Canis lupus familiaris: one gene and its partner. The protein of the gene in region 1 purifies or fractionates together with the protein of each later gene. This does not show direct contact. Links are inferred from orthologs where the notes say so. Each region holds a gene or a part of one and is shown in the gene's direction. Other genes may lie near its edges.

Region 1 (3,742 bases):
GGGTATATGCATAATTAGAATCACCTTCCCAAATTCTGAGCAATTAAGAAGGTCTGGCTTTCAAGGCAGGGGGCAAGGGGCCTCAGACACACACCTTTTTCGTTCGGGTGGCTAGCATGCTGCTCCATCTGGACACCAAGAAGGTGTGGTGCCTAGGGAAGAATCACAGCGTTACATGATCAACTCATGCTACCATTTTACCGCTGACAGTTTAACTTCTCCCCAGCACATCTGACGCTGCTCCAATTTAGGGAGGAAGATGTATGAAAGAAGGCACTGTTCTGCTTCATGGCCAAGTGCTCCCATGGTCCCTTCGCTGGTTTGGAAAACAGCGGTGTCCCTGACTGTTATATCCTCTCTTCTGGGCAAGTCGTCACTTAACTAAGCCCAAACCTTCAGAGTCTCCCAGTAACGGGGCTTCCCTCAATGTTTCCCTTCTGCAGCACCAGCCCTTCTCCTGTCCTCTGAGGTCACTGCAGCAGCCTGGCTCCCCATCACCTGTCATGGGCCGAGAGAAAGCGCAGGAGGGCGCGGGGTACCGGCGTGGAAAGACGGCCCGGCTGCGCGAGGAACCCCCGGGCTCGCCCCCAGCGTCTGCGGGAAGCACCTGCGAGAGGAGGGCGAGGGGCGCGCTGGGGCGCCCCGGGAAGGGCTCTGCCACTCAACCGCCCCGGGGACCAAGTTCCCGAAGTGGCCGCGCCGCGGTCCCTCCCGCAGCTAAGACTGGACAGAGACCATCGCCCCCAAAGGACCCGAGGCGCGGGCCAGCTCAGTAACTTCACCAGCGCTGTTACTCGAGAGCCTCCGATCCGGGTCCCACCCTTGTGGTTGATACACATGCGCGGTGGCGTCGCGGCCAACTGCCCCAGCCTCCGCGCTTGCGCCGACCTGCGCGCCGCACGCGGCCGGGAGCGGCCACCCTACTGCGCAAGCGCCCGGGCCCTCCCCTCGCCATCATCGTGCGCTCTCTATCTAGCTTGCTCTGCCGTTCTTGCGTAGAGGGCGGGACTAAGAAAGCCTATTGGCCGGTTTTCTTGCCGCTCAATGAGCTGGCTGCAGTGATTGGCAGCGACCCGGAGGGTAGCGGGTTTAGGTGTAAGCCCTGAGGAGGCAGCGTTTTCTGGGCTTCTCGCTGGTTCTCTCTCTCCAGAAGGTTCTGCCGGTTGCCCCAGCTCTGGGTACCCGGTTCTGCATCGCGCCGCCATGATGGGCCATCGTCCGGTGCTCGTGCTCAGTGAGTTGGGGGAAGGCGGGGCAGGAGGGGCCTCTTTTCGCCCTTTACCTCCGCGCTTTGGCGTGTTGCCCCAGCCCGGTCCCGCCCTGGTCCTGCCGCGCAGCCTTCCCGTCGTCGTTGGTTTCGGAATCCCCTTTCCTTCTCCTCTTTCTGCCCCGAGCCGGTTCCCTTAGGGCCTGGGCCGGGCCGGGCCGCTGGTCTGCGGGCACCCGGGCTCCCTCCGCCGCCACTGCACCCCTGCTCGCGTGGTTCTCGGTGCGGGCGCGGAGAACGGGATGTGGTCAGGCCTGGCCTCCCAGCTCCGGCCCTTGACCCCGCCACATCGCCTGGCTCGAGCGTTCCGTTTTTATCGGGGGTCTCGACAGTATTTTCTTGTCGGATCGGGGGCTTAAGTGACTGAAGTAGGGACGCTGCCGACGAGGGCGGGGGGGGGGGGGGGCGTCCGCGCACAGCGAGCGATGCCCTGGTAATTTCTCAGTAACGCCCTCCCGGGGTCTCCTTTCGCGGGGTCCGGCTTCGATGTAATTGGCCCCGCGGTGTCCTCCGCGCTGTGATCCTACCTACTGAGTTTTCCTGAATTTCTCTCTAAGGAGGATTCGCTCCATTGTCTTCTCCTGGGATATTCCCGTTCCTCGTGTAACTTCTGTACCTCGTCTGCAAACTCTTGTTCCTCCCTTACCGTTTTATGTATACAAAATGCAATAAAGCGGTTTTATGCCTTTTCCCTGTACCTGGGAATCACTGTTTTCACGGGAAAAAAACTTTTTTTTTTTTTTTTTTTTTTACTGAACCGGGAAAAAGCCCGTTTTTTGTTTTTGTTTTTGTTTTTGTCTTTTGTTTTTTCTGAGGAGCCCATCAGAATAGTCTGTGCAGGATTTTAGTTACTGCTACTCGAAACATGAATCTAAATTCTGAGGGTTGTGAGCGTGTAGATTTGATGGGACTGGTTGAAAATTTTACTGATTTAAATTGTAGGGAATGTGTAATTTGGAAGGAGGGAAATCGGCGGTTTGGTTGTAGCCACTGGCTTGTCTCCATTGGGAGGGCCCCAGGGGTGAGTGGTGGTTGTGTGTGAAGCCTTTTTTGGGTCTTCATTATTTTCTGGCACTAGTGACTATGACTGAGTAGGCTCCCTGTTAAAATCTGATGGTAGAGCGGTTACTGAGGCATCCTTACTTATATCCTAGCATGCAGTGATTATCTTGCAAACTGAGCCACTCTGAGAGGACAGTCTAATTCCACAGCACACTGTGGGGGCGCTATCAGTAATTGTGCTGGGATGGTTAGTATAATTCCTCCTGCCCAAATAGGAAAATAAGAACCCCCAAACTCCTTCCTTTTTTTACAGAAAGCAATGACTGATGCTTTTTTTTAGGTTACCAGCTCTTTGAGAATAGGATATAGATCCTCTTCCCAGTCAAGAATGCAGTACCTTCCCATTTTCTCATATAATCTCTAGGAGTTTACCATTCCACTAGCCCATTTATGGACCTCAGTATGAATCTTTGCTGTTAATTCGTGAATATTTGGTTAGTGGGAAAGAGATGACCAGGGTTTCATAGTTGAAGCGTTAGGGATTGTTTGTATGCCAGGGGTTGACATAAAAATGTAGCCATAAATACATGTTTTAGTGTTGTTGTTGTTTTTAAGTTTTCAAAGGTATTTTGATATGTAATAACCTACATGTATCTAGAGCATAGGATTCATTGAGGTTTGTTCTTTGTATATCTGTAAAACCTGTGTGTGCATGTGTGCGTGTGTTATTTCCAAAGGTCAGGGAGTAAATAGTTGCTACACAGTGGGTGAATCCTGGTCTATCACATTTTACTTTATCTGTTTTAGGCCAGAACACAAAGCGTGAATCTGGAAGAAAGGTTCAATCTGGAAACATCAATGCCGCCAAGGTAGCATATCATTCATTCATTTAAAGATTAGATTTAGGGCAGCCCTGGTGGCTCAGCGGATTTAGTGCCACCTCCAGCCTGGGGCGTGATCCCGGAGACCCGGGATCGAGTTCCACGTCGGGCTCCCTGCATGGAGCCTGCTTCTCCCTCTGCCTGTATCTCTGTCTCTGTGTGTGTGTGTGTGTGTGTGTGTGTCTCTATGAATGAATAAATAAAATGGTTTTTTTTTTTAAATAAAGATTAGATTTATTTATTTGAGAGAGAGAGAGCAGGAGCGGGAGAGAGGAGCACAGGGAGAGGGAGAAGCAGACTCCCTGCTAAACAGGGAACCCGATGTGAGGTTTGATCCCAGCACCCTGGGAGCTGAAAGCAGACACTTAACCAACTGAGCCACCCAGGTGCCCCAGTAGCATATCTTTTAAATAGTTTAACGTTGATGAGTTTGCTTTCAGCTGCCTTCCCTAGTATTTCTGTATTCATTTGCAATTAGGCAGAAGAAAAGTTTGACTTGCCTTTTTTGAGGGCATTTCTCTGATGGTGGTAGGATGCCCTCCCGCAATGAGTTAGGCTTAATAGTCTTTTCATATTGTGCATAATTCTATTA
Region 2 (3,742 bases), on another chromosome or scaffold:
TTGATGACAATAGGGAGCCATTGAACACTAGTACACACACACACACACACACACACACACACATCTCTGTCCTCAGGATCTCTTTCTCCCCTGCGCTCCCATCCTGGGTAGGTCGCATGTCTCTCAGGCACCCCAGATAAGTAGGTTCCCTCTTGTCTCCACCACTGCTCCCCAAAGTCTTTCTCTGTACACACAAATAGTTCCCCAATCGCCAAGCTGTGATTGTGCCTTGTCCGCAGAGCTCGGAGAGGGCCAGAATCGCTTCCCCTTCGGTCACCCTCGTATTCCTGGCACCTGGAAGGATACCTGGCCCCTGATAGATGCTCAATAAATTATCTGTTGGCTGGAAGGCGGTGCTGCTCAGCTCGGGAGGGCTTCGTCTACTTTGGCTCCCCCGCCTCCAACACAGGGGCAGGCATCACCGCGAGGCAGGGGTTTCTCTCTATTTTGTGTCCGCTGCGCCTCGGTGCCTAGAGCTGTGTCTGGTCCGCAGGAGGTGCTCCAGGCATGCTTGTTGACCGACTTAACAAACTTTGAGGTTTTTCCTACCAAGATGGGAGCAAGGAGGTGCGATGTCCCAGGTGAGTGTGGGGGATGCTCCCAGGCTGGCTGCGGTCTGTGCCCCCAGTGGAGCGCCTGCCCCCAGCGACCCCGGTCTGGTGGCAGGGATTCGGCTGCCCTTCTCAGGGCCTGCTCTGCCCTCTAGGAGCTCGCAGTCTGCTGCTGGTGGCAAGGGGAGTCCGAGTCCCAGCTGCGGGAGTTTGCTCGTGCAGGGCCAGGCTGGGGGCTGTTCAGGCCCCATCTCCTTAAAGGACAGCTCCAGGCTCTGCCGTTTTACAGATGCGAATACTGAGGCCGGAGGGGGCGAGCGGGGTCTGCCCTCCTCGGTGCAGGTTGCCGGCCTCCTCCAGAACCTGTCTCAGCCCTCTCCCTCGGGAGGGCCCCTTCACCCCAACCGCCCCCTCCCCAGCACGCTGCCCCCCACAGCACCCCCCCGCCCCCCGCCGAGGTGTGTCTGGCTTCCCTGCACGTCTCTCCTCCGGGGAGGGAGCGGGCGGCGTCGGCGGGGCACTGGGCGCGGGCCTCAGTTTCCCCACGGGGCCCGGCCGGGGGCGGGGCGGGGGCGGGGTCCCGGGGCGCGGGCCCGAGGCGCGGGGGGCGCGGCGGGCGGGCGGGTGGGCGGGCCGGGGGGCGGCGGCGCCACCTTAAGGCGGCTCTGCCCGCGGCTCCCGGCCGAGCCCCGCCGGAGGGAGGCGGCTCCGCGCGGGGCCCGCCGCCCGCGCCTCCGCCGACACCGGGCCGCGGCTCGCGCGACCTTCGCGCCCGCCCCGCGCCCGCGCCCCCGCCCCGCCCCCGCCCCGCGCGCTCGGGGGGGCGCGGGCGCTCCGGGTCCCGGCCCCGCGCCGCCGCGCCCCTCCTGCTGCCTCCGGGCGCCCCCGGCCCCGCCGCCGCCCCCCCGGGATCGTCGGGCTCCGGCGGCGCGGGGGCCTCCGCATCGCCAGGATGTACCCCCAGGGGAGGCACCCGGTGAGTGGGGGCCCGGGCCGCGCGGGGGCGGGGGGCGCGGGCGCCCGGAGCTCAGACCCCGCCGCGCCCCCGCCCGCAGACCCCGCTCCAGTCCGGCCAGCCCTTCAAGTTCTCGATCTTGGAGATCTGCGACCGCATCAAAGAGGAATTCCAGTTTCTTCAGGCTCAGTACCACAGGTGAGGGGGGCGGGGGCGCCGCGCCCCGGGGGAGCCGGGAGCTCACCTGGGAGCTCACCTGGGAGCTCACCTGGGAGCCCCCCGGGGGGGGGGGACGGGCCCGCTGGGGGCCCCCGGGCGCAGCCAGGCGGGGGCGGGGCCTCCAGGGTGCCGGGAGGAGGGAGCCCCCCCTGCAGGGCCGAGGGAGGGCTTCCAGGTGGAAGCGCAGGTGAGGTGGCCGGGGACGCTCAGCACTGGGGCGCTTGGAGCCTGAGAAGGGGCGGGAAGGGACTGGACGGAGGTGGGGCGGCGAGCAGGAAGTGGGGACAGGGGACGGAGCCAAAGCCATCACTTTGGAAACTGGCCCAGACCGGGTATCTCTGCGTCCTGTGCCGGGTGGGGCGCGGTGGGAGTAGAGGCAGGGCGCAGAGTGGGATCCCCATGCTCCTCTCCTTCCCAGCCTCAAGCTGGAGTGTGAGAAGCTGGCCAGTGAGAAGACAGAAATGCAACGACATTATGTCATGGTGAGGGGCTTCGGGTGCCAGGAGCTGCGGGCAGTGGGGAGGGGGCTCCGCTGTGACTGAAAGCGCTGGGGGTTTGACTCCCCGCTCACCCTGCCCCTCCGGGCCTCATTTTCCGTCTTGTAAAGGGGGCTGGTTGGGATTCCTGGCCATCCTACAAATAATGAGGCAAGGATGTCCCCTCTCCTGATGGGCATCTCTGAGGGGCCGGGGTCTCTGGGCACCTCCTCCTGCCACCCTCCCTGCTTGCTCCTCTGGTCTTCCCCTCTGGGCTTGGGGGGAGGCTCTGTGCCCTGCTGTGATTCCCCCAGCCTGGGGGCTCCCCGGAAGCCCCAGCATCACCCAGCTCAAGGCTGGGCACCAACTGGCACAGTAGACATTCCCAACTGGCTCTTCCTTTGCAGTATTATGAGATGTCCTACGGGCTCAACATCGAAATGCATAAACAGGTAACTGTTGGGGCTCGGGGTGTTCAGGAGGAAGGGTGAGGGTCTGGAAGCTGTGAGAGAGACCCAGCGCTCAGGCAGTCCGGGTCTTATCCTGAAATCTCTGGGACCAGGGGGCCAGATTTCAGCCTCACAGAAGGAAAACAGTTCTGAACTTCTGGAGACAGGGTCCAGCAGAGAGGCGAGAAGTGGGCAGGAGCCAGGTGTCCCTGTCAAGGAGGGCTTGTGGCAGAGGCTGCAGCCAGGTCGGGCAGGCAGTGGAGGTGACTTCTGGCCCAGGGAGGTCCCTTTCAGGCCAGAGAGTCTCATGTTTGGAGGATGGATCCTGATGATCTGAGCTGGACCCCAAGCTGCTGTTGATGCTTTAAAGGATGTAAGATTGGCCCTAGTGCCCTGAGGGTCCGAGACTCTCATCAGCTTCTGAGTGTGATGCAAGGTTCTCAGACCAGAAGGGTCTCAAATTGACTCCAGTTGTTCAAGATTAACCCCGAGACGGGGTGCCCAGGTGGCTCAGTCGGTTAAGCATCCGACTCTTGATCTCAGCTCAGGTCTTGATCTCAGAGGCGTGAGTGCAAGCCCCATCTGTGTTGGGTTCCACGCTGGGTACCAAGCCTACTTAAAAAAAGAAAAAAAAATTAACCCCAAGGACCTGACACTGACCTCAAGGTTCTCTGATAGATGAGGGACCCCAAAAGATTGTGAGGTTGATGGGGTCTTAGGTTCTGTCCCTGAGACTATCAGAACAGGGTAGGGGTGGGGGGGGTGGAGCCTAAAACAACACTCCTTCCGGGTGGGTGGGAAGAGGAGGGGGAGTGGGCTAAGAGTGTGGGCTGCCTCAGGGTGCCCGCCCTGGTGTGCTTTTCTGGGTATGCGTGGGCTCTGCTGGCTCTGGTGTGGGCCGCGGCGGGCGGGGGCTGACCTGGCTGGAGTAGGGCGTGGTCCTGGGGGTTCATGAAATAGACCATCTTAGGGGGTGGGAGGGGGCAGGCAGGTGCTAGGGCCCGGCCCCCACCCTCCCAGTGGGAACTCAAGCCCTGCCCAGATGCACGAGGCACACAGCACCCCTCTAACCCCGGCAGAGGCGAAGCATAG

Evidence for each region.
Region 2: the proteins of CCT3 (region 1) and TLE2 purify together in Homo sapiens (affinity purification with mass spectrometry; 3 studies listed by BioGRID and IntAct, with this or other methods). This does not show direct contact. The link is inferred for Canis lupus familiaris from reciprocal best matches to the Homo sapiens genes CCT3 and TLE2.

Annotation. Positions count from the first base shown.
Region 1 is NC_049228.1:41,548,614-41,552,355, forward strand, and holds the start of CCT3 (T-complex protein 1 subunit gamma), read left to right. Parts: upstream 1-1,072; 5' UTR 1,073-1,203; coding exon 1,204-1,234; intron 1,235-1,282; exon of another isoform or gene 1,283-1,343; intron 1,344-3,076; coding exon 3,077-3,138; intron 3,139-3,742. Other genes in the region: TSACC (TSSK6-activating co-chaperone protein), read right to left, coding at 95-152, 821-958. UniProt on the Homo sapiens protein: Component of the chaperonin-containing T-complex (TRiC), a molecular chaperone complex that assists the folding of actin, tubulin and other proteins upon ATP hydrolysis.
Region 2 is NC_049241.1:56,607,552-56,611,293, forward strand, and holds the start of TLE2 (transducin-like enhancer protein 2), read left to right. Parts: upstream 1-1,414; 5' UTR 1,415-1,503; coding exon 1,504-1,527; intron 1,528-1,606; coding exon 1,607-1,704; intron 1,705-2,143; coding exon 2,144-2,207; intron 2,208-2,608; coding exon 2,609-2,653; intron 2,654-3,742.